Linked DNA regions of Arabidopsis thaliana. The protein of the gene in region 1 interacts with the protein of each later gene in a pairwise test. Each region holds a gene or a part of one and is shown in the gene's direction. Other genes may lie near its edges.

What was found.
Region 2: the proteins of AT1G71480 (region 1) and PRA8 interact in a two-hybrid assay, tested with the Arabidopsis thaliana proteins (one large-scale study listed by BioGRID).
Region 3: the proteins of AT1G71480 (region 1) and PRA7 interact in a two-hybrid assay, tested with the Arabidopsis thaliana proteins (one large-scale study listed by BioGRID).
Region 4: the proteins of AT1G71480 (region 1) and GAMMA CA2 interact in a two-hybrid assay, tested with the Arabidopsis thaliana proteins (one large-scale study listed by BioGRID).

Annotation. Positions count from the first base shown.
Region 1 is NC_003070.9:26,928,778-26,935,817, forward strand, and holds AT1G71480 (Nuclear transport factor 2 (NTF2) family protein), read left to right. Parts: upstream 1-3,074; 5' UTR 3,075-3,301; coding exon 3,302-3,640; exon of another isoform or gene 3,641-3,690; intron 3,691-3,729; coding exon 3,730-3,844; coding exon of another isoform or gene 3,845-3,849; intron 3,850-3,924; coding exon 3,925-4,006; coding exon of another isoform or gene 4,007-4,010; intron 4,011-4,100; coding exon 4,101-4,152; exon of another isoform or gene 4,153-4,246; coding exon 4,247-4,309; 3' UTR 4,310-4,536; downstream 4,537-7,040. Other genes in the region: AT1G71460 (Pentatricopeptide repeat (PPR-like) superfamily protein), read right to left, coding at 1-1,539; AT1G71470 (uncharacterized protein), read left to right, coding at 2,009-2,147, 2,380-2,636; AT1G71490 (Tetratricopeptide repeat (TPR)-like superfamily protein), read right to left, coding at 4,549-6,594.
Region 2 is NC_003074.8:4,491,048-4,498,764, reverse strand, and holds PRA8 (PRA1 (Prenylated rab acceptor) family protein), read left to right. Parts: upstream 1-1,964; 5' UTR 1,965-2,996; coding exon 2,997-3,563; 3' UTR 3,564-3,786; downstream 3,787-7,717. Other genes in the region: CYP90D1 (cytochrome P450, family 90, subfamily D, polypeptide 1), read left to right, coding at 4-125, 351-435; PRA1.F4 (prenylated RAB acceptor 1.F4), read left to right, coding at 5,207-5,773; AT3G13700 (RNA-binding (RRM/RBD/RNP motifs) family protein), read left to right, coding at 6,133-6,414, 6,469-6,531, 6,610-6,691, 6,780-6,854, 6,942-7,014, 7,105-7,147, 7,305-7,420, 7,533-7,602 and 1 more. UniProt on the Arabidopsis thaliana protein: May be involved in both secretory and endocytic intracellular trafficking in the endosomal/prevacuolar compartments.
Region 3 is NC_003070.9:20,584,355-20,590,903, forward strand, and holds PRA7 (PRA1 (Prenylated rab acceptor) family protein), read left to right. Parts: upstream 1-4,042; 5' UTR 4,043-4,095; coding exon 4,096-4,665; 3' UTR 4,666-4,845; downstream 4,846-6,549. Other genes in the region: AT1G55175 (uncharacterized protein), read left to right, coding at 1-76; PLDEPSILON (phospholipase D alpha 4), read right to left, coding at 703-1,130, 1,244-1,629, 1,713-3,094, 3,183-3,275; AT1G55200 (kinase with adenine nucleotide alpha hydrolases-like domain-containing protein), read right to left, coding at 4,955-5,053, 5,148-5,297, 5,420-5,567, 5,645-5,721, 5,797-5,957, 6,052-6,549.
Region 4 is NC_003070.9:17,317,768-17,327,557, reverse strand, and holds GAMMA CA2 (gamma carbonic anhydrase 2), read left to right. Parts: upstream 1-4,073; 5' UTR 4,074-4,210; coding exon 4,211-4,325; intron 4,326-4,473; coding exon 4,474-4,617; intron 4,618-4,877; coding exon 4,878-5,003; intron 5,004-5,105; coding exon 5,106-5,257; intron 5,258-5,874; coding exon 5,875-6,174; 3' UTR 6,175-6,657; coding exon of another isoform or gene 6,658-7,140; 3' UTR 7,141-7,987; downstream 7,988-9,790. Other genes in the region: TLP6 (tubby like protein 6), read right to left, coding at 70-400, 472-515, 710-730; AT1G47265 (uncharacterized protein), read right to left, coding at 2,760-2,990; PAF2 (20S proteasome alpha subunit F2), read right to left, coding at 6,658-7,140, 7,988-8,338. UniProt on the Arabidopsis thaliana protein: Enzyme involved in the catabolism of H(2)CO(3) but that does not mediates the reversible hydration of carbon dioxide. Mediates complex I assembly in mitochondria and respiration. Binds HCO(3)-.

The DNA of each region.
Region 1 (7,040 bases):
TGATAACAGCATCAATCTGAATACCTCAATCCCTGCTCTTAAATCACAATTTTCCACATAGCAGTCAATCATAGCGGTCCATGCTTTCACATTCCTTTGTTCCAACCTGTCAAACAGTCTGATAGGATACTCTGGAACACCGCACTTTGAGTACATCACCATCAAGGAAGTGACCAGGGATACATTCGGCAAGAAGAGATTCTTTAAAGCATAACAATGAATCTCCTTTCCTTGCTTTATAGCCCTCAGCTCTGCGCAAACAGGAAGAACAGTAGCAATTGTAACAACATCTGGCCTAAAACCTTCCTGCTGCATCCAAACAATCGACCTCAAAGCTTGATCAAATCTACCGTTGGCTGCGTATCCAGACATCAATGCAGTCCAAGATATGGCATTCCTCTGTTTGGATCCATAGAACACACGTCTCCCAGAAGCCATATCCCCACACTTGCAGTATAAATCAATCAAACCAGAGTGAACAAACGGCTGTTCCACGTAATTCTTCGATTTCAATACATGGGCATGGACCTCCTTCCCCAGTTTCAGTGCCTTAACATCCCCAAGTACGGGAAGAATCGTTGTAAGTATAACTGAGTTTGGATATATCTTTTCTTCACTAATCATCGTCCTAAACAGTCCCAACGCTTCCCACTGCCTTTTATTGTGAGCCAATCCAGCAATCATCGCCCCCCAAACAACTATATCTCTCTCTACAATCTCATCAAAAACTCGACGTGCAAGCCCTACTTTACCACACTTAAAATACATATCAACAAGAGAAGTCTTAAGAAAGACACTATTAAACAAACCATTCTTAATCGCAAGTGCATGCGTCTTCAATCCCTGTCTCAAAGCAGATGCACCAGCAAAACTCTTAAACACATTAGATAAACTATAAACATTCAAATCAACACCAAGCTCTCTCATTTCTGTAAACGTAGAAAGAACATCTTGATACCGCTTCTTCCCTGATATAACAGTCCCTCTAAGCAACGCATTCCAAGAGTAAACATTTGAGCTAGTACTTTCATCGAACACCTTCTGTGCATCTTTAACCGAACCACAAGCAGTATACATATGAACAAGCTTGGTCCTTAGAAACTCATTACTCTCCAACCCATTAATACGTATATGAACATGGACTTGTTTACCGTGAAGCAACGACTTCCGGCGAACACACGCCTCTAAAAGAGCAGAGAAAGTTGTCGCATTTACAGGAATCCCTCTCTGTTCGAGATAATCAAGAATCGTGAGAGCGACTTCGAGATTGTTCTGCCTCGCAAAAATTTGAATATCTCTGTGGATAATGTAGGGGTTCTTGGAGTGGAGAGGAAGAGAAGAAGGGAAAGCATCTCTTTCCCTAAAAGGTTTCGGCTTTTTGGCGGGAGAAGTGGAAGGTCGTCTAGTTCTGCTTGGTCTAATCGGAGATTTCGCCGGAGCGCCATCTTTATCGGAACGATGAGGACGGTGGTTGAGACTCGTCGTCACGGAGAGGGACGCCGGGAGGTCTCGGATTCCGAGAGACGACACTACTTCCATTGTGACCACTAACCACTTGATTAAGCTAAAGGTCGTTAGTATTTATATGTAGCTTTAAACTATTTTTATAAAGTATGCAATTGAAATTGAAAGCTAATATTTGGGCCAGAAAATTGAAATATGGGCTTAGGGCCCCCAAAACAATTGTAGCCCATCAGTTCACACACGGTTTCGTTTTTAAAAAAAGCATGTATTTAGAATTTATTGGCTTTTATTTTGGTGGTTGCTTCAATCTTCCTCGTTTAAAAACAATTCATGTCAACTTGGACAAGTTACAAAAAAAACGTTTCATATTTTTGTCACTAAAAATATTCAGTTAAATAAAGTAATTGACTCTTCGTTTTCCCGACGATACTGTATAAATAAACATCATGTTTCTACTTGTTCACATATCGACTCTTTGTTTGTCCGATTCTATCTCTCTCTTTAGAAACTTTATCTAGTCTCTTCGAACTTAATCTTAACGACGATGGTGCCGGTTACGATCAACTCTCCACCTAAACCTGAATCATCCGAAGAAGAACTCAGCGACTCCCAAGTTTCCAACTCATCGGAAGACGACGACTCAATGGAAGACGAACCATCAGACTCTGAAAACAACAATGGAGGTACATGCATGCATCACTCTCTATTTTATTTCAGATTTTTCACTTCACCATTTCACATGTTTCCACTGTAAAGAAGTTGGAGCGTTTGTTAAGAAATACTTTGCATGTTCATGTTCTGTTTGACTGTGAGGTTTCAAGATTATTACGTTGATATAAAAATCTTAAAAGTGATTAAGATAGTTTTTGTATCGTATCTTTAATACTTTCTTAAAAAAAAATCTTATGTCAATAGTTGTTACAGAAACTGAGGCTAATGGTATTAAAGATGAGTTTTGGGCTCGGTATCCATCTTTGAAGATGTTTTTAAGTAAGGAGATGGTCAAAGAATTTATTTCTGAAGAGTATATTTTGGAGAAAGGTAAGCTTATTGGAGATAATAAGGCCAAAGAATTGAATGAAAAATGTGAGGTTTTGTTTATCAAGGAGATAGAGCATCTCATCAACAAATATCGCTTCATGGCTGATGTTTTGGAGTTGTTGTTTTTGTGAGAACTTTTCGATAGTGACGTGCATGGCTTGAGTTTGATTTTCTCGTTTTTATTTATGTTATAATTATTGTGTTCCATCTATGAATGTAAAAGATTTATGAAGGATTCGATTTTTTTCTCTTTTTTTAAAGATTATTATAAACGTCTTTCATAACCATCTCTTTATTCATTATATGTTCAGGAGTGAAAAAACAAAATCTAAAAAATAGGGTTAAATGTTTGCTTAGCTTCTCTCTTTATGTAGATTTGAGAACCGATGAACAAGAATTTACTGAAAATATATCATTGATCTAAAAATTATGAAAAACAATTCAACTTTTTATCCACCAACACATATTTTTCTTTACTTTTCTGTTCTGCTACGCATTACCTAGTCTTATATTTCGAAAAATTATAAAATCTCATTTCACAACTAAATTAAAAGTATCATTTCACAAACAAATAAGATGAAATGATGATAGAAAAATCATCAATTAATAGGAAAGAGGATTGGAGTATACTTCTATTGATTGTTACAGTATCCACATGGCATCGATAATCATAGGGACTACTAATAAGAATTTCTGTCCACAAATTCCAATTGAAATTCAAAATTCAACTCTTTGCTCTCTTAATCACAAACACAAATGAGCCACAAAAACGAAGACATCATATCAAGAAACGACGATGAGCTTCACTGCTTCTCTCGTCTCTTATTTGACGTCTCCCTCACTCGTCTCGCTCAACCATCTTCCTCCTTCCTTCTTCCTCCCAACCAAACTTGTCAAGCCAACAAGCCTCACTCATTCACAGCCTCCGAGATTGTCCGCATCCTATGGTCCAGCTGCAAAAGCTGCTACAGCCAACGACGTTGTTCCAGAAACAGCTCCGACATCAGCGTCGGAGGTCGTCTCCAGCTTCTACGCCGCCGTTAACGTCCATGATTTATCCTCTGTCACAGACCTCATCGCTCAGGACTGCGTCTACGAGGATCTCGTCTTCTCATCTCCCTTTGTTGGCCGAAAGGTGAAACGATTATTATTCTAATAAACCAAAGTCTCTTCTTTTCAGACTTTGTTGTGTCTCAGAGCCTAATTTTGATAAAGCCATGACAGGCAATTCTTGATTTCTTCGGAAAATTCATTGAATCAACAAGTACGGATCTCCAATTCGTGATAGATGATATCTCAACAGAAGACTCTTCAGCTGTTGGAGTTTCATGGCATTTAGGTTAGTTTTTAACAGACTCTTTATGATTTAGTCGTCTATGTTTCTCTAATGATAAGTCGTAAATTGGAGATTTTTGACAGAATGGAAAGGAAAGAACTTCCCATTTAGCAAAGGTTGCAGCTTTTACCGGTTAGAGGTGATTGATGGGAAGAGACAGATCGTGTAAGCACACTTTTCTCGACAGATCGTGTAGACTGACAGAGATGCCAATTTTTGTCTTGCTGGGATAAACATTTCTTCTCTGTTTTGTTTGCAGATATGGAAGAGACTGCGTTGAGCCTGCAATCAAACCTGGAGAAACAGTTCTGGTAACATGAGCTACTATCAATTTTGATTGTGTGGATGTGTTTGAAATTGCAGAGGTAATGAAGATTTAACAGCTTTTGCATTTTGTGTATTCAGGCTGCTATAAAGGGAGTTACCTGGCTGCTGCAGAAATTTCCTCAACTGGCCGACCAATTCTGATGGCATTACAAAGCTCTTGCTCGATGAAGTGAATCAGCTCACAATATAAGTTTTCTTTGTGTTATATAGGAAAAATACTTCCGCAGCAATCCCCACCATTGTCCAATTTTAGTTAATGTATATACTAGAACTTGTCATGTGTATCCAACTTGTTCTCAGTCTGGTGATATGCAGGCGTATATAGACTATGTGCTATTAACTAAATAAAGCTCCAGTTGATCATCCTCAGCTCTTCACCTTCATCCCATTTCTTGAAGAAGTTCTTCATCTGAACTTTGCACCTTATTGATGGCATAACCAGCATTGTCTTTCATCAGCTGATTCAGTCCATCTAATAGAGGATAAGTATTACATGCTTCAGGGCTTGATGTGTCCCCCACCGAAAACAGTGAAAATCCAGAATCTGTGTCGATCCAAGCACAGCCAGGATCCTTTTTCACACCCAAGTCCCTCATTATAGTCCTCACTTCAGCAAGCTTGCTCCAAGAACCAGCAGCTGCATACATATTTGCAATTAACACGTAGTATCCCGGGTTCTCTGGCTTCATCTCCAGGAGCTTTTCTGCTGCCCATTTACCAATCTGTGTGTTCCCATGGATGTGACACGCGTTCAGTAGGGTAGCCCACGTGGCACCGGATGGCTTATATGGCATATTGTGAATTATGTCTTTGGCTTTTGCTAGGAAACCTGCTCTGCCATAGAGATCAACCATACAAGAAAAATGTTGAAGACAAGGACGTATACCATACTCACACTGCATCTTCATAAACAGCCTTTCACCTTCATGGACTAACTTGGAATGACTGCAGGCTGATAGAACTGCAACCACGGTTACATGGTCAGGTTTAATACCAGATCTGGTCATCTCCTTGAACAGGGCCAAGGCTACTCCCCCTTCACCTTGATTTCCGTATCCATCTATCAAGGAAGTGTATGTTACTTCGTCTCTTTTGCTCATCAAATCAGATACTTGCTTTGCAGCTACAATCTTTCCCGATTTTGCATAAACATCAACAAGGGAGTTCCACAGCATTGTATAGTCCTTGAAGCACTTGCGCCTCAGGATGTAGCAATGAAACTCTTTTCCATGTTGCAGGTTTGCAATCCGAGCACAAAGAGGGAGAATGCTTGCTAGTGTAATGGAATTTGGCTGAAAGCCAGCAACCAACATCTCCCTCAGCAGGTGAGAGGCTTCTTCTGATTTGTTCAGCTGCGCATAACCGGAAATGATAGAGTTCCAAGTACACAAACTATTTTCTTCAGTCTGTCGAAACACTATTAAGGCGTGCCTAAGGTCTTTGCATTTTGAGTACATTGTGATCAACGTGTTTCGAACATTGTCAATCCCATCATAAGAACTGTGAATAGCAAGACCGTGAATCTCTTTTCCCAATCGTATTGCTCCTATGAGAGAGCAAGCCTTCAAACCAATAATCATAGCCACAGGATCTAAGCTCGTAGGAAAATTTCTCATCCTAGAGATCAAACCCAAAGCTCCTACATAATTTCCTGTTTGCAAACAACCTCCAGAAATAATATTCCAAGTTATGACACTGACCTCAACACCTGAAAACCACATTTTATCGAAAAGCTCAAACGCTTCACTCCACATGCCTTCCGAAGCATAACAGTTTATCACTGCATTCCATGAGACAGCATCCCTTTCAAACATTCGATCAAACAACCTCCGAGCAATACCCATATTTCTAAACCTTTTATACATAGAGATCAATGCATTACAAACATACAAGCTGGACTTGTAAGAGCTAACCTCGATGGAACCATGAACCACCCTTCCAAAGGCAACGTCAAGTGTTTCACCACAAGCCTTAAGAACAGACGGATAAGTGAAGGCATCGGGTCGGATTCCCTTGCTCACCATTCTCTTGTAAGCAGCAATAACCTCCTCAAAAAGCTCGTTCTTGGCATACGAAGCAATGAGCACATTCCAAGGTAAGGGATGCAAAATGTCAGAGTTCTCAATAATCGATTGAGCTTCATTGTGGAGATTGAAAGCAGAGTAAAAGGTAACCAGCTTTGGGACTAACACAGAGTGATATTCGACACCCGACGAAATACAGTGAGCGTGAACTTGCACCCCTGCTAAAAATGCACGAACATCAACGCAAGCGGATAAAAGGGAAGCCGCGGAATGCAAAACGAGGTCATCTGAAACTGCAGAAGAAGATTGAAGACGAAGAAGAGAAAACGTTTTGAAAGCGTCGTGCAAATGACCGTGGCTGGCCAAATGTCCAAGAGATTTGAAAAGACTCTCACTCAGCATTGGTTCAATGTGGGTTTGGAAAGTTCTTGGAACAAGACTGCGACTTTTTCCATAATCTGGGAATAAACTTGACAATGTCGGCTATGGTGAGACCTCCAAGAATATACGGCATATACTCTGTCTAACAACACCATGCCCAACGCGCCATATTCGAGCTCCACAACAAAAAATATGCTTCTCTACTTGAGATCAAAGCAGAATAAGACTACAAGTTGAGAAAACTTCATTGAAGCATATCATCGAACACGTGGTGTGCTGATTGCTGAACCATACTATATACACATTTGAACCCTAAGAGCTGAGAGTATATACATAGCAGAACCTATATGATTGAGAATAACGAAACAGAGGTAAGAGAGAGATATTGGAACAACAAAGCAAAGCGGAAGAATGCGCGCGAAAAAACGCAACAAGAGTACGAGACTCTGAAGATGAAGAGTGAAGAC
Region 2 (7,717 bases), on another chromosome or scaffold:
TAGGAAAGGGACATGAACACGAGTAGTTTCAGTCCTTTTGGAGGTGGTCAGAGATTGTGCCCTGGTCTCGATTTGGCTCGTCTTGAAACTTCAGTTTTTCTTCACCATCTTGTCACTCGCTTCAGGTAACTATCAGTTACATGGATACAAAATTATTTAATATTTGTTGTAATCTTTAAATTTCAAAACAAACAAGAGGGTGTGGTAATTAGTGCTCTACACTTTAGACAAAATGGTACGTTCGGACCAAATAAATCTAAATGTCTAATCTCTTTTTGACAAGTTGGACTTAACTCTTAAACGATATACAGAGACTTATTTGAAAATATGTTGGTGATTATGATATGCAGATGGATAGCAGAAGAAGACACAATCATAAACTTCCCAACGGTGCATATGAAGAACAAATTACCCATTTGGATCAAAAGAATATAAATCATTTTTCTTAAGTGAAAAATGGAGAATCAGTTTTGCATTATCAAACTCTAAAAGGTTAAAGAAGTCACACGAGTGTTTTGTAAGTGGGAAGTGAAAAAGATAGTGAGACAGCAAAAGGTAAGAAAAAAAGAGAACATGATGGAGTTTGGAGACAAAAAATGATTCACACGTGTGGAAGACGATAGCACACATGCCAACTATTTTGTCGTATTCCTTCACAAGGCAAATAAGGACAGAATCACAAAACCTTTTTGTTGACCGTATATATATATATATATATATATTTTTTTTTTGAAGTACAAAGGTGTATGATAATTATGCATATGATATAGAATCCTAATTTTCATGACTATTTCCTCTCTCTCTTTTTTTTTTTTAAATGTTAAGGACGACTATTCCTCTTCGTATATTAAATTATTAACTAAGAAAATCATTACAGAAAAGTTATAATTCTGGTTCAATCATTTATATATTTCCAAAAGAATGGTCTAATAAAGATATTATGATAGTCTACATCTATTTCAAGCAATTTTACAGTTTTTTTGCTAAATATGTTAATATCATTAATAATGAAGTTGTGGCGTTACAAAGAAAACCAGTACAAAAGCAACTTTGGCAAAAAAAGTAAAAACAAAGCTACAATAGATTTAGGAAATTTTTGAAGACATTAACGGATCCAGAGAAGCATTAGCTTACGCCAACGCTTCCTAAGCAATTTTACAGTTACTAGTTATTTTTTTAATTTTTAACTGGGTGATGGTTTTCTCTTTTCTGAATAGTCTCTAATAGTTTTAGATGTAATAATGAATGATTAAGCAAAGTCATATTATTTCTCCTCCACTTATATGATATGATGTAATTAACATAACAACCCACTGAAATTGATTTAAACAACGTGACAAGACAAGAAAGTTGTGTTGTTTCAACTGAACATCACTAACAACCAGATCTAACCACTAATTGTACTATATTACATTTTTCTCACTATTGTAACTACGAGTTGTTTATGTTAACACAATAGCCTTTAGAATTGATTTGGATAAGAGGGCTTCACTTTTAAGAGATCCATCCGTTAAGCCTGTTAAAGGCCCAAAAGTTGCATAATAGAAAAGCCTATATATTGGCAAAGACGGGCAACTGTTTAGGCAAATAGGTATTTCTTATGTTATCGCCGCCGTTGAGCCTTTTCTTGTTTTTATTCCCTATTTTGAGTTTTTCAAGACCTTGATTTTCATTTATTGTTAGTTATTTCTCGTTTGGCTGATGATAAGTCCAGCCCGAAATTCCGTTGTTATAGCTTTTTTTTGGTGAAGTTTGCATGGCCATGGAGAACACTAACTTTTTTTTTCATGTAAGTAGACAATTTCAGAGATACTAATCCAAGAGATGGCGGATACGTTTTACAATCACGAATCTTGTATGATCACTAACCATTGGAACAATAAGAGTATATAATGAGTATATCACCATTTAGTTCTAGTGGGTGGTGATCATATAAGATTGGTAATGGTAACAGTGAAACATATCCCCCATCTATTGGGATTAATTAGTCTCCCTGAACAGTCGTGAGAGAACCTTTGTTTGCTGCGGCAGACACTAGAGACTGTTGGAAGACCTTGAGATATACAAAAATGTAGAATTATTTTGAAAATAGGTGATGTGGATCTGGTACTACTTGATTTACATATATGTATTTGCTTCTCTGCTTACTTGTAACGAAAGCTACATTATATAATATACCTTTGATTTAAGCAATCTTGTTGAATAGGTTTCTCTGGTTCTTATGGAGAAAAACTTAAGATTTTTGTAATCCATCATACATTTTGGTATAGTTTTGATCTTATATGTATTGTGCTTTGACACAAGCTAACTATTTTCTTGTTTCACAGAGCGGGATCAATTCTAAAGCAGCCATGAGTCTGGCTCGCTAAAGAAGCCTATCGATGTGGATCGTCCAATGGAGAGAGAGCATGTGACATGAAACCTTCGTTGTATTGGGCCAATATCTTTTGTAATTGGGCTGACTAAAAATCATGATAAAGTCCGAGGGAGACTATAAATAATTTACTCATTGTTCCTGCCGACATTACACGTGGCGAAAGAGTAGTTATATGCCAGAGAGACTCCTCTAAAATGGGGTCACGTGTAGCCTGTATCGACTATTCAATAATGCCACTCTCGCTCGGTGACACCGTGTCTCTTACTTTATCATTAGTCTTTCAAATTAACTATATAGTCCTTCAACATGTAGTAATTCATCTACTTATAAATTGCTGTTACCCAAATCTCGAGTATCTAAAACTTATACTTTTCAGACATTGACCAAGTAGTGAATCAAATCCTCACGTTACACTATATTGTAATCTTTTTAAAACACGATCTAATTAAATTTTGTTTTATTTCATAAACATAGATTAGTTTAGAAAACGCCATATGCAAATGTGTATCACCTAATTCTTGGGACCTTTCAGAATTCATATATACACATAACAAACAGTCTTTTCATTTACTTTCTCTATTCAATCTCACACGCGCTAAACCATAACCCGATATTACTAATGACGAACTACGGTGCGATTCCGACGTCGTCTCATGCATCTCCGTTGGTGGATGTCGAGTCTCTCTCACGCGCTAAACACCGTATCAAAGCCGGGCTAGCCACGCGCCGTGCTTGGAGAGTGATGTTCGATTTCCACTCCATGGGACTGCCTCACGGTGTCTCCGATGCGTTCACAAGAATCAAGACCAATCTTGCTTACTTCCGTATGAACTACGCAATCGTTGTCTTGATCGTTATCTTCTTCAGCTTGATCTGGCATCCGACATCGCTCATCGTCTTCACCGTCTTGGTCGTTGTTTGGATCTTTCTGTATTTTCTCCGTGATGAGCCTATCAAGCTGTTCCGGTTTCAGATCGATGATCGGACGGTCTTGATTGTTTTATCGGTGTTAACCGTCGTTTTACTCCTGTTGACCAACGCGACGTTTAATATTGTTGGAGCGCTTGTGACCGGAGCTGTGTTGGTTTTGATCCATTCGGTGGTTAGGAAGACGGAGGATCTTTTCTTGGATGAAGAAGCGGCGACGACTGAGACTTCTGGGCTGACGTCATACCCGTCGACTTAAATCGTTTCATCTCGAAATTTGTGTATCTTTTCTATTTTTGTATATTATCTTGTTTTTTTAATTATGCGTAATCAATTTTTATTGGTGTGAGTTTGGTTTGAGACTTTCTCTCTCTCTTTTGTTTTCTGAGTTTTGAGCTCTGTCTGAAGTTTGAACAATTCTAATTTGTTATAATTTTTATTACTCCCTCTGTCCATAAAAGATAAATTTTTTAGGAAAAATATTTGTCTTACAAAGATAGAAATTTTATATTTGCAATGCAAATTTTAAAATTGTTTTCCCGTTTTACCCTTACTAAATAATTAGATAAATATTTATTATTATTTTTAAAATATATTAAGAGGTTAAAATTATGTTTATACAATATTTCTTAAAAAATGTGCAATTTCTAAAAAATTCATCTTAGTGGGACGGAGGGAGTATTTTATATTCGCAAAACTCAGGAATAATTTCTTGGAATGATTTATTAATCTGAAATATTTAAAATGATTTAATCTGAAATACATAATAAATAATCAAATTAATAAGTCAAACATTATAAATTCAAAATGGGTTGTAATGAATATTCCCTTTTTGCATTCCGTAACAAAAAAATAATCAATTTTTGTTGTAAAGTTTATTCAGGTTGGTTCACCTTCAAAGTAGGAAAAAAAGTTTGGTCTTGATTTAAGTTCTTTTTTCATTTGGGTCACACAAATGAGCAATTTGAAGCAAAAATCCTTGATATATATGCAGGCCTTATTCAAATTTCCAATGTAAAGATTTGAAGCAAAAATCCTTATATATAATTAGGTCTTTCAAAAGGCACAAATATTCTAGCCCATGTAATTCTAAACGGACGCCATTAGATATGTAAGAGCATCTTCATCAGTAGTCTTTCAATGAGATACCCAATAAAAAAAATATAATAAAAAAGGAAAAAGTAAGAGAGAAGGAAGAAAAAGTAGGAGAGAAGGAGAATTAAGTTTCTTGGAGGAGAAACTTTGAGAAACTATTCTCATTCAATTTGGACAGCTGTTATCCTATTATTAGTTTAACTATTAAATAACAATTAATATATCTGTCTTAATTAAAATATTAATATTTTAATTTTTTGAAAAACTTTCCTTACTGATGGAGATGGTCTAACAGTATTGAGCATACACATCTTTGTACGCGTCAGCTCCCTTCGCCGGCGCTTAATACCACCGCCACACTTGCCGCCAATTAGAAGCAAACCGGTTTAAAGTGGCGTATCACCAACATTACGATCTTAACTACGTCTATCGACATCATCCTCATCCCCATAATCTTATCCACTCAAGACTCAAGTACACTGGACGTGGCAGACCAAGTTTTTCTATTTAATTCTTCCAACTTCATATTCCAGGAACTCGATCGACTTTCAGACATTGACCAAATTGAATCAGATCATAACGCTACATCCTTTTATATATATATAACATCACGCTACATTATTGTAATAATATCACAAAATTTCTACGGAAAAAAACTCGGTCTAATGTTTTAACACACCATCTAATTTATTTGGTTTTATTCCATATGCAAATTCAAGAGACCTTCTTCATATATTATACACAGAGAGATAAAACAATAAATCAGAACAGTTTTACATTATTTCAATCAAGTCATCTTATTCACTAATGGCGAACAACGACGAGATTACCACGTCGTCTCATGCATCTCCGGCAGTGAATCACGAGTCTATCTCACGCGCTAAGCAACGTATCAAAGACGGACTAGCCACGCGCCGCTCCTGGAGGGTGATGTTCGATTTACACTCCACGGGACTACCTCACGGCGTCTCCGATGTTTTCTCAAGAATCAAGACAAATCTTGCTTACTTCCGTAGTAATTACGCAATCGTAATCTTGAACGTCATATTCTTCAGCTTGATTTGGCATCCGACCTCGCTCATCGTCTTTACCGGTTTGGTTTTCCTATGGATCTTCCTTTATTTTCTCCGTGATGTGCCTCTCAAGGTGTTCAGGTTTCAAATCGACGATCGTGCGGTCTTGATTGGTCTATCGGTGATTACCATCGTTCTACTTCTATTGACCAACGCGACGTTTAATATTGTTGCGGCGTTGATGGCCGGAGCTGTGTTGGTTCTGATCCATGCGGTGATTAGGAAGACGGATGATCTTTTTTTGGATGAAGAAGCGGCGACGACTGAGACTTCAGGACTGACGTCACACCCTTCGTCTTAAAACGATTGATCTCCATTTTTATGTATATTCTATTGTTTTTGATCATCTTATGTGTAATTATAGTTTATGGTGTAACCGTGTAAGTTTGGTTTGATTCTCTCTCTGTTTTTAAGTTTTGAAGTATGAACAAACTTAATAATGTCAAAGTCTTCGCTTCTTGTTTTTGGCGGGCTGCTTACTTTTATCACTTTTTGGCGCCTTATTGGGCCATTCATTAAGGCCCAATAGTATCAGCCCATAAAATTCAAAAAGGAACATATTTTTACATTTAAACAGTGTGTCTCACACTTCCATTTACACGTCAGCTCTCTTCGCCGGCGCTTAATACAACCGTCAACCTCGCCGCCGGCTAGAGGAAAATGGCGTATCACCAACCGTACGATCCTTTCTACGTCTATCAACTTCATTCTCATCCTCATCATCTTCCGCCGCAGCTGCCACTGCTCGCCGACGAACCTGGGGCGATTAACACTCTCTTTGTCTCTGGCTTGCCTAATGACGTTAAGGCTCGTGAGATCCACAATCTCTTCCGTCGTCGTCATGGATTCGAATCTTGTCAGCTCAAGTACACTGGACGCGGTGACCAGGTTTGTAAAAATCTCCAATTTCTGTTTTTTTTTATTCCCATTTTTAGAAAAGCTGTATACTTTGTGATTCTATCGATGTTTAAGCTTTCTGAAGTTACCTATCTTCAGGTTGTGGCATTTGCAACATTCACGAGTCATAGATTCGCCTTGGCTGCAATGAATGAGCTAAATGTAAGATTCACTTTGATCGAATTGTGTGACTCTATTGTTACATTGTGTTATTTGATTGTGGTGAAGCATTTCTTTTAGGGTGTGAAATTTGATCCTCAAACAGGATCAAATCTACATATAGAACTAGCTAGATCAAACTCTAGAAGAAAAGAAAGGCCAGGTATTTTCTAGACTTTACTCTCTTCTTACTATTGAGTTAGTGTGGTTGGTAAATCGATCAATGAGTAATGAACAGTCTATGTGGATAGGAAGTGGACCTTATGTTGTGATTGATAACAGAAACAAGGAAATTTCTAAGTCTCAGGATGACCAGAGTGATGAAGGTAATGTTCTGGTTACCTTGTGGACTCCTAATTATTTAAATGTATGAATGCTTTATGTTTCTGCTTGATCATTGTTGATGCATCTAGGGGATAGCGATCCAGATGAGGTGCAGGAACCTGGAAATAGCGATTCTCCAAAGGAAAACGATACTACCAAAAGGTTGAAAATGACAATTAGAAGCTTGGTTTTGTAGTTTTTTAGGTCAAAAGAAGAAGACTAATGTATTCTGATTTCTTTGCAAATTTACAGCGAAGCGGATTCTGAGCCAGATAGTAAAGCACCATCTGCTAATGTAAGTCCAAGCCAAAAATCTAATCTTTTTAACCAGTTGAGATATCTCTATTTCTCAAGTTCGTTGAAGATTAATAAAATCTTATTTGTTACTTACTGTAAGATACTTCCATATAGACTTCCTTATGGTTCAGTAGCTTACTGATAGATTTCTACAGGGGCACTTAGAGAAAGCATCTGAAGGAGGTTCTGGTGCTCGAGCTTGTTCGACCTTGTTTATAGCTAATCTAGGGCCTAATTGTACAGAAGATGAACTCAAACAACTCCTATCTAGGTAACCTTGTACAATGACTGAAACCTACAGCATTAGGGTTTGAATGTTTCTTCAAACAATCATTGGTTTTTGCCTTTCCGAAAGTCGATTGATCTGATCCATTTGCTTACAGATATCCTGGTTTCCACATTTTAAAAATCCGAGCTAGAGGCGGAATGCCGGTTGCATTTGCTGATTTTGAGGTATAAGTTGTTATACATGCTTTTGATTTTGTCTTTGTAGTCTATATACCCACTCTCACCAATTGCAGGAAATCGAGCAAGCTACTGATGCCATGAATCATCTTCAAGGGAACCT
Region 3 (6,549 bases), 6.3 Mb from region 1:
TATCGATTTAAATCTAGAGGAACTTAGTTTACTTCCCTCTTGCTTTTCCGAAGACTCTGAGAACTTTCCAGCTTAAGAGTGAGTTAGAAACGACTTACATCTTCAGAAATGTTTGCCCTCATGTGTTCTTATCAAGGACATATTGAATAGCATTGGACTGTAATCTCTGAGGATTAACAGAGTTGTTACTCCAGATCTAGAATTGAAGCGGTGCTGCAAAGATGCAAGTTTCCAGTAGTGTGAAGCTTCTTGGAACAGTACACGATGAAATAAGGGAGATTTGTTACTTAGCCATTAGATGAGCTTGGACACGGATAGGAAATGATTCTTCTTCAAGCTCCATTCCGGTTCACCTTTTAGACATTAGATGTAGAGATCCAGTCTGCTAAGTCACGTAGCATTGTATGCTTTGCATAAATATTAGCTGTTGAAAACTGCTCGTTTCATGTATATACAGGTTTTGATTATTCTTCTCCTTGTTACAGGCGACAAAGCTTGAAAAGACCATTCATCTACAAGTTGGAAACGACAAAGGGACCGGAATGGTTATAACAGAAACCAGTAAGTGTGTTAACCACTAAATACATCCTCTCATAATCAAACATTTATATGCGTATTTCATCATAATTAACAGGCTGAATGTTATTTATATATATGTATTGCAAGTTATGATCTAAGAATGATTCTGATTCGGACATTTTTTCAGGTGGTTAGAACAGGAGGAAACATCTTGGACCTCTTTCCTTTCACCAAGGTCTTGGTATCAGGAAAGCAACCGTCACCGACTTCCTCAACTGCACCATCTCCTGTCACACTAATTGGATAGGCGACCAAATGGATACCGAGCATGTCTACGACCTTGTCTCCACTGTAAATCTCCCACATTTGCTCTCCTATTGTCCGTAACCCTCGGACACATTCAAGACTCTCTGGCTCTGACGATGATAAGTCATCTGCCGTGATCTTGCCACCGGTATGCTCATACCAGAGCGATAACCGGTAAGCTTGGATTTCGTTGGTGTTGTTGGTATTGGTTTGGTAGCAACCTATTGCAATCTCGGTGTCCCGACAACCATCCATTGATCTCTGGTTTATATTGGCTGATCCTATCAAAATGTATGTGTCGTCCACTACAAACATATGACAATCTCTGTAATTTAAATCTTAAGTGAAAGTTTGTGAAAGTTTAACGAATCTTCAATATATTTTCATTTCAGATTGTGAATTGCGGATTGTTTGTTACCTATCATGAGCTTGGAGTGGACATAGACCATGAATCTCCGATTCCTCTGCGCATTCCAGTAATGCGTTTTCTGGTGGGGCGACGAAACTGCTTCAAACTCCCCATCTCTCTTCTCTTCTCTGTTTGCAAGACAGAAGAAGTTTAGATAATCCCTCGGATGCGACTTGTCTCCAACTTCCCATATCGCCTCTCCAATGATCTGATACATCATTGACATCGTCTCTCTCGTCCAATGAAGTATCTCTTCAACCGTTTCACTCTCCGGTGGCCCTTCCGGCCACATCGGTATGACTATATACACAGCAAATCTCTCCCTTGCACGTATCTTAGCAGCAATCTTTAACGCTATTTCGACAGGTATCAAGTTTGTGCATCCGCTGCAGATTCTATCCATCAAAAAAAGAAATACTAAAATAGATCAGAATCTCCCAATGGATATTTAATAGCTTCGTTAAGAGAAATTTCGTACTTATCGTTCTTGCTCTCCCAATGATCACAGCTTCCCATGAAATACTGATTCTCGATGTAGATAAACCTCTCAGCCTTTCGAATTGCTGCGACATAGCCATCGTGTACACTCTTCTCTACCGGCAAACCTCTTGGCATCTCTGTTGCCGATATGTGATCTATCGATCTCAGAACTTGAACATTCCATTTCCTGTTATTTTCCTCAGTAGGTCCGGTTAGGTTTACTAAGTTTCTGATCCCTGAAGTGTTAACCAACACGGAAGGGTTACACTGTTTCGTCCATCGCTGTTCGAAGTTCTTCAGGACATCCCAAGCCGCTCCTCCAACCACGGACACATGGCAATCATGCCATGGCTCTCTTGGTCCGCCTCTACTTAGCTTAGCTCCAGCTACACTTGTCTGGTAAAAATCAGCTTCTGTTCCGAGTGTACGAAACAGTGAATGCTCCTCAGTGTCATATCGACCATCGCAAAGGTCAAACCCGCCAAGGAAGCTCATGATCTCTCGCTCCTTCGTGCTTGAATTTGTCACCCGTGTATCCAGTGTTATTGTCTTTTGGTGGTGTGCAAACGCTGTAGGGAGCTTTTTGTGCAATCTTGGACACAATCTACAAACAACGTTTGTGTTTCTGAAGTAAGCAAGAGCTCTTTCGACGTTTGTTCTCATTACACCTTTGTTCTTGATCATTGGTAAAGACGTCTCGTCGTTCCACAACATTACTCTCACCGCTACACCTTCCTCTGATTTCCGTTTCAGAAGCTCGCCAACCGTTACTCCAACCGCATGTGGAATCTCAGTTTCGTTGTCGCGTACAAGAACAAGATTAGGGTTTAGTGCCCATCCTGCAATGTAAACCAAGTGCCTAGCACTTTCGATCGCTTTGTAAACATCTTCCCATAGATTCCTTGCATTAAAAGGAACATCATCAACCCTTGGATCAAATGTGGCCTTGTGGTGTGCATCTTGATACAGTACGACTCTGCAGTTCGATCTTTGAGGGAAGCTTGCGTTCCTAATACCTTGAAAAGACGCTTCTTCAAGCGCTCTGCACCATCCCGGTTCAAGATAAGCCGGTCTGAACCACATCAAACACTTAAGCTTCAAGTTACGTTTCGTTGACCCATTGTCTGCAATCAGAGGGAAGAACCCGTTGATAACTGCTGAATTAGATGTCAGGATCTGTTCTGCAGAGATTCGGAATCTTCCGAGAACAGAACATCGAGTCTTGAGCGTGATGGTGATAGTCGTGTCAGTAACCGGGTGAGCGCAGAGGATCTGAAAAGTCTGATTCCAAATACGGTCGTATTCTGAGCTTGTTTTAGCAACTTTCTTCTTGTTTATCTTGATGGTCACGTAAGCTGCTTTTGGCTTTGTACATATACACTGTGAACAAAGATAACAAAAGCTCATGAAAATGAACACAATGATAACATCATCAGAGTCACTAATTCAGTATATGATATAGACTTACATTGAAAGGAAATGGAGGAGAAAAAGGTGTTGCATCGAAGATTGTAATCTCTAGTGTTCCATGAAAGTACTTCTTCTGTTCTTCAAGCTCCATCTTCTCTTTATTCAAAATGTATCTTTAAGAGAATGAGAGATAATTTTCTGTGAATTGTCAAGTATGTGTTTGAAGCTGGTCAATTACAGAATGCACAAGGTTATGTCCATCCATATATGTATATGTATTTGTTAATGTTTTTGGTGAAACTTGTAGGATTCTCCATGGACAATCTTAAAGAAAACATTCAACCATATAGATGACAAAATCGAAGGTGAAGTGTCTTTGAATACAAATCAAGCATTCGACTTCGGTTTTTAAAAATAGGAATTTTAAAAAGCAAAGTGTTAGATGGTATTCAAACAAAAGGTTGGGACTAAAATGTGAAAGCATGAAAATATCTGGTGGAGTTTGTAAATATTTGTGGGGATAAGCCACGTGCAGCAACAAAGCGCTGCCAAAGAAACCACTCGGTCGCAGTTTCTTTGGTGAACTAATAATATGAAATTTTTATTCTGCCGGAAAAAAAAATTAATCCTTCTAATGAATAAAATTATGCTGTTTACAAGTAATTAATCAGATTTATGTTTTGAAAATGACAGAGAATATAATATGCTGTACATTTTCCTAAGAATATGTCTCTATGATGCTGACTGTTAAACACATATAATACCAATATTGTTACCATAAATGTACAGTTGCAAAACAAATAAAAAATTATTACAATATAAAGCATTTATGTATTTATTGGGCATGTAACAACTTTTATCCATATGTGACATTTACATTAGCACCATCACCTAATCCATAGGGACACTGAGCAATTTATAAATTATTACAACCAACAAAAAAAAAAGCTTCGTGTCTCTCTTCTCCAAAAATGACGAACTACGGGGCGATTCCGACGTCGTCTCATCCATCACCGGCGATAGATCTCGAATACATCTCACGCGCCAAACACCGTATAAAATCCGGTCTAGCTACGCGCCGCCCATGGAAATCAATGTTCGATTTCGAATCAATGACTCTCCCTCACGGTTTCTTCGACGCGATCTCGAGGATCAAAACGAATCTCGGCTATTTCAGAGCTAATTACGCCATCGGAGTTCTCTTCATCCTCTTCCTAAGCCTTCTATATCACCCAACCTCGTTGATCGTGTTATCAATCTTGGTCGTCTTCTGGATCTTTCTCTATTTCCTCCGTGACGAGCCTCTTGTTGTTTTTGGTTATCAGATTGATGATCGGACGGTTCTTATTGGTTTATCGGTTTTGACGGTTGTGATGCTTTTGTTGACTCACGCTACTTCGAATATTCTGGGATCTTTGTTAACCGCCGCCGTGTTGGTTCTGATTCATGCGGCGGTTAGAAGAAGTGATAATTTGTTTCTTGATGAAGAAGCTGCGGCGGTTACTGAAGCTTCAGGGCTGATGTCATACCCTTCGTCGTAAATCCAAAAATTTGTTTTTTTTTTTTGTATGTTACTGAGTTTGGTGCGATTTGAGAAAACTTGACATGTTCTTCTACTTTGTTCAATTTGTTGACAACAGTACAATTTTTGAGTATGTTTTGTTGGTTAATTACGTTATTACATGATTAGCACTACAAACACTAATCACTTTGGATAAAGCTACTAAAAAACCATAATTGTCAATTAAGAGGACTTTGATTTTACAAAATTCTTCTATTGATCCTACGCACTATACCAAAAGAAAGTGATCAGATTGGCTAGTTGAGCTTTTAGTTATGATCTCTGAGACCTTTCTCAGTGGATAGTCTTCCATTAAACCTCCCTGAGATTTCATTCATTAACATATCTCCTTCCAATAAACGCAACACCTTCAACAACAAGCAAAAGAGCAGACACACTTGAGAGAGTTTTATTGACTTAAAGAAATGAACATGTTTCAAGAATGGTGAATCTTTTCTTTACCTGAGACATGCGAGGACGCAAATGTGGATCTCTACGTATACACAATGAAGCTGTATGAATCATGCAAATGACTTGTGTTTCTGAATATCGCTTTTCGAGCCTCGGATCAACTAATTCCTCAACCGCATACTCTTCTAATAAAGATCTTGCCTGCTCACAAAGAAAATAAAATAACAAAATGAGCTTCAAGAAAGAAACTTTTAGATTTCATTTACAAGAAGAGACTGAAAATGAGCTAAGAAACCTTAAAAAGAAGAAACTTATGGATTTACCCATTCAGTTAAACATTGTTGTCCCTTTGGTCTGTAGATATCCATTGCTTTACGACCCGTGATTAGTTCGATCAATACAACCCCGAACGAGTAAACATCGGCTTTCTCTGTGATTTGTCCACTTTGAGCATACTCTGGAGCTAAATAGCTAAAACAAGAAACACAGAAAGTAGTTGAGAAATTACTCTAGAGTGAGAATGATGATTTAGTTATAAATTTTGTTACCCGAAAGTTCCTATCACACGCGTGTCTACACCTAGCTCTCCATCAGGCTGCCATCTTGCTAAACCAAAATCTCCAACCTGAAAGAGAAACAAAAACAGAATCAAACGAATGTATAAAAAAGTGTAAATTGTGGTTCAAGAAAATATAAATACCAGTGGTTCATAATCATGAGTAATTAGTATATTGTTAGGCCTCATGTCTCGGTGAACAATGCAACCTACTCTACACTCTTCATGAAGATATCGAAGACCTCGAGCCGCTCCAACCGCTATTTTTTGTCTTGCAGGCCATCCCAAAGTGTCCTTATGGCGACCTAAATGGACATTTCATGAAAGTTAGTTAGATAACTCTAGTTAAGTGTTTTTTAGGTTAACAACATCTTTAACTAACTTGGAAACTCTATTTACCGTATAGATGAGAGTCTAATGATCCATTGCATATGTATTCATAGACCAAGAGTCTTCTGGTATCTTCGATGCAGAAACCGATTAACATAACTACGTTTCGATGCTGAGCACAGCTCAAAACTTCTACTTCAGAGCAAAACTCTACATCTCCTTGTGTACTGGCCACTTTGTGTTGCTTTACTGCTACAATCTGGCCTTCAGGTAATACACCTCTATGAACAGATCCAAATCCACCTTCTGCCAAAAAATTAGCTCGCGAAAACCCGTTTGTTGCAAGCTCTAACTCTTTGTAGGAGAAAAACCTCGGTGGTTTTCCAAATACAGGCGCTTTGTGCTGGCATATAGAACAGAGAGGAGGTGAAACAGGAGGAGCATTTCGTGATAACGCTCTTAAGGTTCCACTATACTCCTCCAAGTCTTTCCTTTTACTTGACATAGCTGCTTCTTCTCCTTCATCAAGCTTAGAAATTTTCTCAAGCAAAGCCTTTTTAGTAGATA
Region 4 (9,790 bases), 9.6 Mb from region 1:
CCAAACAAAACCAATGTTTTAGACACAATGATAATCGATTATAAGACAAACTGGTCAAGAGTAACAAACCTGTCTTAAAGAAATCGGAAACGTGATCAAACCAGAGAGCTCAGGAACTTTAACAACTTCTTTAGTCATCTCCCTCCATGACTTACAAACCGAAGCACAAGCAACAACATCTCTCCTCCCCGGCCATAAACTCTGTTCAGACTCAATCCTTTGGATTATATCAAGAAGTAACTCTGGAGGCAAATCAACCCAAATACTCTGGTTTAAACCTTCATTAGTTGATAAAGAAGAAGACACAGATGATCCTTCTGGTGCAATGTGTGACCTCCCTCTTCTACCAATAGCTTTGTATTTGTTCTTCACTATGTTCTTCAATGACATTGCTACTCTGCTACAAACAAAACTATTATAATTTCTGTAATTGAGAGTTTGAGAGACCAAATCAAAAACCCTAATTTGTACCTGATTTTATCTGCTCCCCCAGAAATTTCCCAGCTCCGTTTTGGCTGATGATGAACAAAGTAAATCAACAGAAATGTCTCAGTATTCACCAAAGAGAAACTTTATTCATTGGAGAAAGCAAAATCATGAAAAGAGCATGGATCCGGCTTCTCCGGCAATATCGTGAAGAGTTCGAGAAAGTTTTAAATAAACAAAACATCGAGAAACGAGAAAGAGAGGAAGAGAGAATTATTGTTACCAACAAAAGCGACAAATCCATGGGGAAGCACAATTATATTTCTGCAGATGAGATAAGTTTTTGGATTCTTCTTCTTCCGATGAAGACGAAGAAGAAGAAGAAAAATTCAGCGAGGAATTTGAAATTAAAAGCCTTCTCTTCTCGAAAATGTTAAGTTAAATGAACCACCAACACCAACACCTCTCCGATGCCGTTACTGTCGCCGTCGTGAGCTTCGATTCCGAAGAGGAGAGGAAGGAGGAAGACGACAGTAACCGCAATGATTTCGAGGAGGAAGAAGAAAAAGAGAAGACAGATGGGTTTTTTTCTTTTAATTAGTAAAACGGAAAAAGACTAAGCGCGGCTCATGTTTTTCAATTGAAATTAGTAAATTACTCAAAATAGGATTTTTTTTTTGTAAAACTATTTATTAGCTGATAATTTTTGCTTTTTTGAGAGTTAATTACAACTGGATTTTTTTAAAATTTTATTAATTGGCACGAAATATGATATTTGAAGGTGTATTTTAAATTTTTAGTAAATTTACAAAGAAATTAATAATAAGAAATATTACGTATCAGGTTATTTTATTGTGTATGTTAAATTGAATTATATGTAACTAAGTAAATACAAGAATTTGATGTTGTTTTTTTTTTTGCCAAAAGGTGTTGTTATTTATATGAAATATTGTACAAACATCCATGATACAGAGATGATATTACACATTACAAAGACGTCTATATAAAAAGATTGAACATGAACTTTTAAAAGACTGAATCAAGGTTCATGTACAAAACAGAAGGATCAGGATGCTAGAAGATCAACTACCAAAGGAGAAGGTAGAAGCCCTGGCAGCAGTGTTGAAAGACAAACATCTTGACTTCTCAATAAGAACAGGAAACGAAAACTAAGTTTCGCATCTGAACTTATAGCTTCCATCTTATGCTTATGTCAAGAGAGCTTCTTACTTACCAACGTATCAACCAACCATAAGTAGTAGTAGAAGATTGAAACCGTCCTATAAACCCTTCAAGTTTATACCCATCAAACTGCAACACTTAAAACTAAAAAGGACAGTAACTCGAAACAATCCAAGATAGATTGTTCAGCCAAAAGCAGTAAACACTAAAAGGAGTTATGATTCCTAAGCAGCTATAGACATTCCAAAAAAACAAACCTTACCCCAAAAAGTTGAATTCACAGAGTATAAGGGTAGATTATACTCACATTTGTAGACACAATTTTTCGAGATCTTATCCTCACAATGAAAACAAAAAAACTCATAGCATACTCTAAGTATCATGCAAATATTTTATTAGTCGGTGGCATCAAACCACCTAAGGCTCAAAATATCCCCTCTAGTAACCAACTTTCGTTACAAATTTCAGGATTAAGGCTCCAACTCGGAAAGAGCATATTCGATGTTCTCTTCAGCTCGCGACACATATATCGATTCCACCTCACAAATCACTCAAACCGAGCTCATCTCATGATGCATAAGTTGGGTTTACTTCGCAATCACTTGAACTAAGTCCTTCTCACGGCGTATTTGTCAGGTCACCTCGCAACTACTTAATCCAAATTCATATCCAACAGCATTACAAGAATATTAGTCTTCAAGCAAATAACCTTACTCAAAGAACTCAAGCTTATGTTGATACCGGATCGCGCACGACAAATCCATCTTACGCATCCAAGTTCCATCACTTTACAGAGCAAAGAATGTACATCTTGCATAAGAAAGGTGGTTAAATCTTGATATTAATTTGTGATTAAATTTATGAATTAATGGTCATGGTTTAAGGAGTAAACTTGCCATTCAAGTTTACGAATTAATTATGAGAGTTATTTTATGAGCTAGATATGTACCTAATGGCCAAATAAAGATACATAGGAGGAAGGAAAAGACTATAAAGAGAGGTGGAGACCCTAAGAAAAGAGACTCCATCTTTTTTTTTGTAAAATGGTTTTCAATGTTATAAATAAGGTCCAATGGACTATTTCCGGATTTAGGCTCATACATTTTCCCTTAGACTCAATCCACTTACATATAACCAGACTAAACCATCTATTACAAAACCGATCTAAACCGAAAGTTGAAAATCCTAATCTCATATCGTAAAACACGATCTGAGCCGCCGTCCAAGAATTGCAGAATCTCACCGGAACAGAAACCCTTTGGGGAGCCTAGACGAGATTCGTCGAACGGAGATGGTAATTCAGGATCCGTTGTCCTCCTGCCACCGTAGAGCAGTTTTGAGGAGGAAGAGGCGATCCGGGTTGCCATAGTCATGAATCTCATAGCTCAGTCGAGAGAGTTGACGGCAGTAGTGAGTAGATCTCAAGACCATCGACGGTGGTAAAGCCTCACCGAAGCGGAGTCGACCTCCCCCATCAAGCGGCGACCCAATGAAACCTCCAGAATCTTTAGACTTCCGACCTAACCGCCGTCAGCCCTTGTTCTTCACTGTGAAGTCTCATCCTTCCTCTCCGTGAAGCCACACCACCGATATAGCTCTTACCGACAGTGTCTCGCATAATCTTCTCCCCTCCACCAGGGCCAACTCAATATATTCTCTGTCACTGTACAAATTTTCAAATTTAGCCCTTTTATACTAAATATTTTGAGTTTGGCCCTTACATTTAGTTAAAATTTTATTATGGCCCTCAGATTTAGTCAAAATTATCTTTTTGACCTCAAATTTGATAAATTTTTTTATTTTACCCTTTAATTTTGATCAAATAATTTTTGGATCCTGTGCAATTGCTCCTCTTGCACTCCCCTAATGCCGCATTTGCCCTCCACTGCTCCCTTGATTTTGAATAGATTGAATTGCCGAGAAGATGTAGCGGATCACGGTTGAAGCACCATGTCCCAATGGGTTTCTTCGTCGCTGGAGTCAACGAAAAAACTTATTGACGGAACAAGAGATTGTGATTATAAGAAGAAAAAAATTTGAGAGAGAAATCGCCCACGCGTAAATATCACTTGCCCGACTTCTTTCTAGTATAACTCCAAGAAAAACACCCAAGAAACTCCATCTTCTACATTCTTGACCCCATTTTAGATACAAACAATGTTTTTTCCAATCCTTATACTAAAAACTATTTCTTTGCTTTATGCAATACTTCCAATATCCAATGCACAATATAAGCTAATATCTCTATTTTTATCTCTTTATTTTCTTTGCTAAATTATATTAATTATTTTACTCATTTTTGTGTTTGTCTCCTGAAAGCTTTGTTCCATCTCCTTACATTGCAAAACGAATCTATCCGGATTTTGTATTCACAATCTCTGTAAGTCCAACCAATAAATTTCGGTTTGGTTTAGCTTACCAGTTACCACTCCATACTCTAAAAATTTAGAGGTCAACAAAATAAACGAACTCACTCGAGTTAAAAAAAAAAATCCTCCCATCAATACGCCTCCATAAACCTCTCTCTATCTGGTGGAGCGACACCAAAAACAACAAAGCCTTCTCATTTTCACACTTTGGGTAATCGGAGAATCACAAAAAAATGGGAACCCTAGGACGAGCAATTTACACTGTGGGTAACTGGATTCGTGGAACTGGTCAAGCTCTTGATCGCGTTGGTTCTCTTCTTCAAGGAAGTCACCGTATCGAGGAACATCGTAAGCTTCCAGATCCTTCCACTTAATACTCTCTATTGAAACCCTAGATCCAATTCGTTATCTCTAATTTGTGTCTTCACCTTTGATTGGAGAAATTTGTGGCTTAGATTGAAAAAATTTGATTCGAGAAATTTGTGTTTGTTTTCAGTGTCGAGGCATCGGACGTTGATGAATGTGTTTGATAAATCACCATTGGTGGATAAAGATGTGTTTGTGGCTCCGAGTGCTTCTGTTATTGGTGATGTTCAGATCGGAAAAGGCTCGTCGATTTGGTATGGCTGTGTTCTTCGAGGTGAGGCTTTATTACTTCTAGAAAGTCTTAATGGCCTTTGGTTCGATAGAAGTACCAAATTTTGCAGCAGTATATTGTGCAAAGTAGTCATAGTTTAGTTTTAGGAAATGAAGTTCTCTTTACCTTCTAATAATCTTGTATCGCTGTTATACGTTACTGTCCTGATCATTGGACATAGATTTATTGTACTGTCGATAAAATGTGTCATGAAGTAGCTGTGAAACTTATTGTATGTTAATCTGGGTTTCTAACTTGTGCAGGTGATGTGAATAACATCAGTGTTGGATCTGGGACGAATATCCAAGATAATACGCTTGTACATGTTGCAAAGACCAACATAAGTGGCAAGGTTCTACCTACTCTGATTGGGGACAATGTAACAGTAGGTAAACCTTAAAAAGCGATTTATCAGTTTTGAAGTATCTGTTTTTATGTTGTGTTACACGATTGTTAGTTAAAGGTTTTGTTTGTAAAATGAAACGGAGCAGGTCACAGTGCTGTCATTCATGGGTGTACTGTTGAGGATGATGCTTTTGTTGGTATGGGAGCAACACTACTTGATGGTGTGGTGGTTGAGAAACATGCCATGGTTGCTGCTGGTTCTCTTGTGAAACAGAACACGCGAATCCCTTCTGGAGAGGTTTCTTTCTTTCCACTTTATCTTTTCTGGTTTACTGCTTACGGAGTTTGTGATAAGACTGGAACTGGAAACTGCTTTATTTCTCACTAAACTGAACGAGAAAATCCAAAGTATCAAGAACCAAAAATAGAACTCTAGCTAGGTTTACTTATCACGGACCCTGAAGCTCTACCAAGCCTAATAACGAACTGCTAATTAACCAAGTAATAGCAGCTGTAGTCTGCTGCATTTAGTCCTACGCTGACCTGTAGCTAAGGCTTGACCAGCTGAACTTCTTCAAGTAGATCCACTTTTGCTTTGCTTACAATTTAGTTGATACAGAATTAGTTAATGAAATGATATGCCTGTAAATTGTATTATATTTTGATCAAAAAGAAGAGTAAATAGTATTTATATATCGTCTAAATCTGAGAACCACCTTTGTTTCCGTTGCAATTCTACTTGTATATGAAACAAGGGTGAGTTGGGAGTAACAGAGGGTTCTTGTGTTTCCAATGTTTTATGAGGAATTAGACGGATTTCTTATATCGCTATGCTTTTGAACTACTTTCTTCAACCGTCAACCTGAGAATATATTTACAAGGACATATCTATAAGTTATCAGTTTCATGTGGCAGGTGTGGGGAGGAAATCCAGCAAAGTTCATGAGAAAGTTAACAGATGAAGAGATAGTATACATCTCACAGTCAGCAAAGAATTACATCAATCTCGCACAGATTCACGCCTCAGAGAATTCAAAGTCATTTGAGCAGATCGAGGTTGAGAGAGCGCTTAGGAAGAAGTATGCACGCAAGGACGAGGATTACGATTCAATGCTTGGGATTACCCGTGAAACTCCACCGGAGTTGATTCTTCCCGACAATGTCTTACCAGGTGGTAAACCCGTCGCCAAGGTTCCGTCTACTCAGTACTTCTAATTCCAATCTCAGGTTGTTTTTGTGTGTTGAAATCATTTCAAGACAGGATTGATTCTCTGGAAGGTCAAGAGAGATATTATTTTGGTTTTAACTTTTCTTCCGAGCAAGCAGGAGATTTATCATCCTTGCTCAATAATGTATGGTTGCATTATGAAGTCATTTCTTCGAGGAACAATTTGCAGAAAGAGAAACAAAGTTGGATTAATCTTTCATTCTTTCTCTCGCTGTTTCTCTCATTCAAAATGGTGTCTGTTTGATACACTCTCTAGGTTGGCGATTCGCCGATTATTATTATCATGTGACAGATTTGACTTAAGTAGGACTAAACATAAGCTAGTGGCACTCAATAACTCCTTGTTCCAAGCTGTTAAATAAACAAAGCCGAATAAAAACCACAATTGTACTTGGAAGTTGGAACATATCAAAGAGCTACACACAAGAAAATTGGTTAGAAAATCCAACTTTGAACTCATTCCCTCTTGCTCAAATTTCCATTGGTGCAACATCTTGATCACCTGAACCACCTTGTTCACCAGTTCCAGCAGCACCAGGAGCAGCTTCGGGTTCGGCCTCACCCTCACCAGCATCTTCCTCTTCCTCAGGAACCTTCTCAAACGTATCAATCACCTTTTGAATGCTTTCCTGGTCCAAGAAATGGAATGGTTCATCGACTCCTAGAACAGAAACAGTGCAGAGCGAGCTCTTCAGTGTTTCCCCTTGCAAAGTTTCCCTTATGGCCATAATAGCATCTTTTATCAGATCTTCTTTTGATGATTCTTGGAAGCTCTCGAATTTGCGCTCCAGATAGGTTTTCGCAGCTTGTGAACGAGACCCGATAGCGAATGCTTGATATTCAAAGTAGTTTCCGCTAGGGCAGTTGTAGTAGAGGTGAGCTCCTGACTCGTCCAATCCACCTACCAGCAAACCCACACCATAAGGCCGTTTCCATGATCGTTGGGTACATACCTGCTCAAAGATAATTTATGAAGATGTTTAATACAAGACAAACAAATGACTTAACATTTGAATGAAATCAGAGTGTTGTTCAAACTACAAGACTGATATCAATACGTTCTCAGAAATCAATTGAAAATGTAGATACAGCAGCTAACTTAATTTTTGACAGACATGAAAGTAAGTGGGACGTAGCAATCAAACCTTTTAAAAATTGTGAACACATCATCTAACTTGAGAACACTACGTTTAACACCAAAAGTAGTGAACATGTAGCACAAATTTCTATCACAACTGTAAACCAACATCTTACTGAAAATATACTTCATTAGGCAAGTAAATAAAGTGGCCAGGACATACTACAACTACAAGTAAGTAAACAAATGCAAAGTAATACAAGTCAAAACCACAAAACCAAAAAGAGATCAACAAAGACGTATATTTATTCTAGAATTGCAAGCAAAAACAACTCTATCAAGCAAAGAGAACAGACGATGACAACACAGAAACAACCAAACGACCAAAATCATCACATTCTTATACACTTCTATCGTCAAAGTGGGTATACAGGTTAACTCTTTCTAATCGGATTAAGCAACTAGCAACAGAACTGGATATGATTAACAACACAAGAATCTCTAATTCCCAATCACTAAGACTTGATCACAAACCAATATCACTACTTGCATAACAACACACACATTCTACAAATAAAATTGGCCACATTGCTAATAAAAACCTAAACTTTACTCCAATTACATAAAGCTTCAAACTTTCAGATACTCACACATCATAAAACTAAACCCTTTAGCAAATTCTAGGTCAAAATTCAAAAGTTAACCCAAAAATCTCAATTTACCTGAGCTTTATCAGCAAGATGAACAACAAGACGACCAACAGGAAGAGGAGACTCATAAGTAAAAGAGTGATTAATAGACTCAGATCTCATATATCGAGAGAGAACACGACCATCAGCAGTGAGACCAGCAATAGCAACACCAATATGATCATCGACTTTAAAGATCTTCCTTTGATGAGAAGAGAGCTCTGATTGTGCTTTGTTGACACAAGCGAGGACGACATGAGAGCGAGATCTGAGTCCTATTGCTGCGGAGCCTTGTTTCACAGCTTCCATGGCGTATTCGACTTGGAATAGTCGACCTGTGGGACTCCATGTTGTCACATCTGTGTCGTACTGGTTCCTGAACATCTTTCTTCTTCTTGTTCCTCTGTTCTTCAAAAGCTTTTCGTTTGCTTCAAGCTAGAGGAGGATGGTCTCTCTTATAGAGCTTAGAAGAAGAAAGTAAAGATTGTCAAAAAAAAGAGAAAGAAGACAGTAGAGTAAAATGGGCTTATGAAACTTAATGGGCTGGGTTTAATTATCCATTACTCTTTATTATTTTTTACACATTTAAAAGGATTATAATTTTATAAATAAATACTTAGCATTATATTATTTCTTTTTATAGTAATTAATTTAATTCATAATTTAACATTTGCAGTTTCAATTGGTTTTACATTATTTATTTACACATTTTTCACTACACTGATTATAAATTTACTATTCCCTCTGATCCTAAAACAATGATATTTTGGATTTTTCACAAATTAAAAAAAATAACTTTTATATTATTTTTATTGTTTTTTCTTACTGCAAACTATGTTTTAATCTATGAATGTAGATCATTACAGAGAAGGTTTTTGAACCAAATTGGCTCGTTCCTAAAGTCTGCTTTGAACACAGAAATCGTAAAAATTGGGGAAGCAAAATAGTCCGCTTAAAACACAAAAATCGTAAAATTAGGAAAACTAAATGGTGAGCTATACTATTACAAAGACGTTTTGTGAAAGTAAATACAATAGATGAAAATCTGAAGACCAATACTCTAAATCTAGAAGTAAATTAGCAATTTTACTTCTATTAGACTTGCCATTGATGGTTTTAATGAGGACTTCGCAATCTCTTTGGAATTGTACTTTCTTGTATTTTTGTATCCAAATTTGTTGCATCGCCACAAGTAACGCTTTCGTCTCAGCCTTTAGGAGAGTGTTGACATGATCTAAAATTGAAGATCCTCATGTGTTTGCTATCCCTTCATGGTCTCGTATAATCCATCCACCCGTACTTTAAGTACTATTCCTGTGTAAGTCCGCATCGAAATTGCACTTGACAAAAGAAACTGTCGGTTTTCTCCATGAAGTATTTTCCGATGATGGTGCTCTTGTTGTAGTAGTTTTTTCTTGCCTCCCTCTCGTGTTTATAATTCATTTATTATTTTTTTAATTAATTTAATAATATCAGTTCTACTTTTTTTCCTTTCTCTATTGATCACTAATGAAAATAATATTAATTTAAAACATCAACTTTTGTGAAACAAAAGTAAAATTTAAAACATCAAACTTCATGGACTAGAGGGAATTACAAGTTATTGTATTTTATTATTTCTAATTTTATGAAAATTAATAATTTAGCATGTGTAGTTTAAATTGGTTTGGAATAAAATTAATTTAGAAATCTAAACAAATAAAGTCACATGTTATTAGATTTTTAATTTGATATTTTGTTTTTGATAAAATCTTGTATTATTTGGTTGGAAACAAAGAGTATTAAAATTGTGTCAATTAGCTAACTAGCCAAATTCGACATACAAATTAGCAAAAT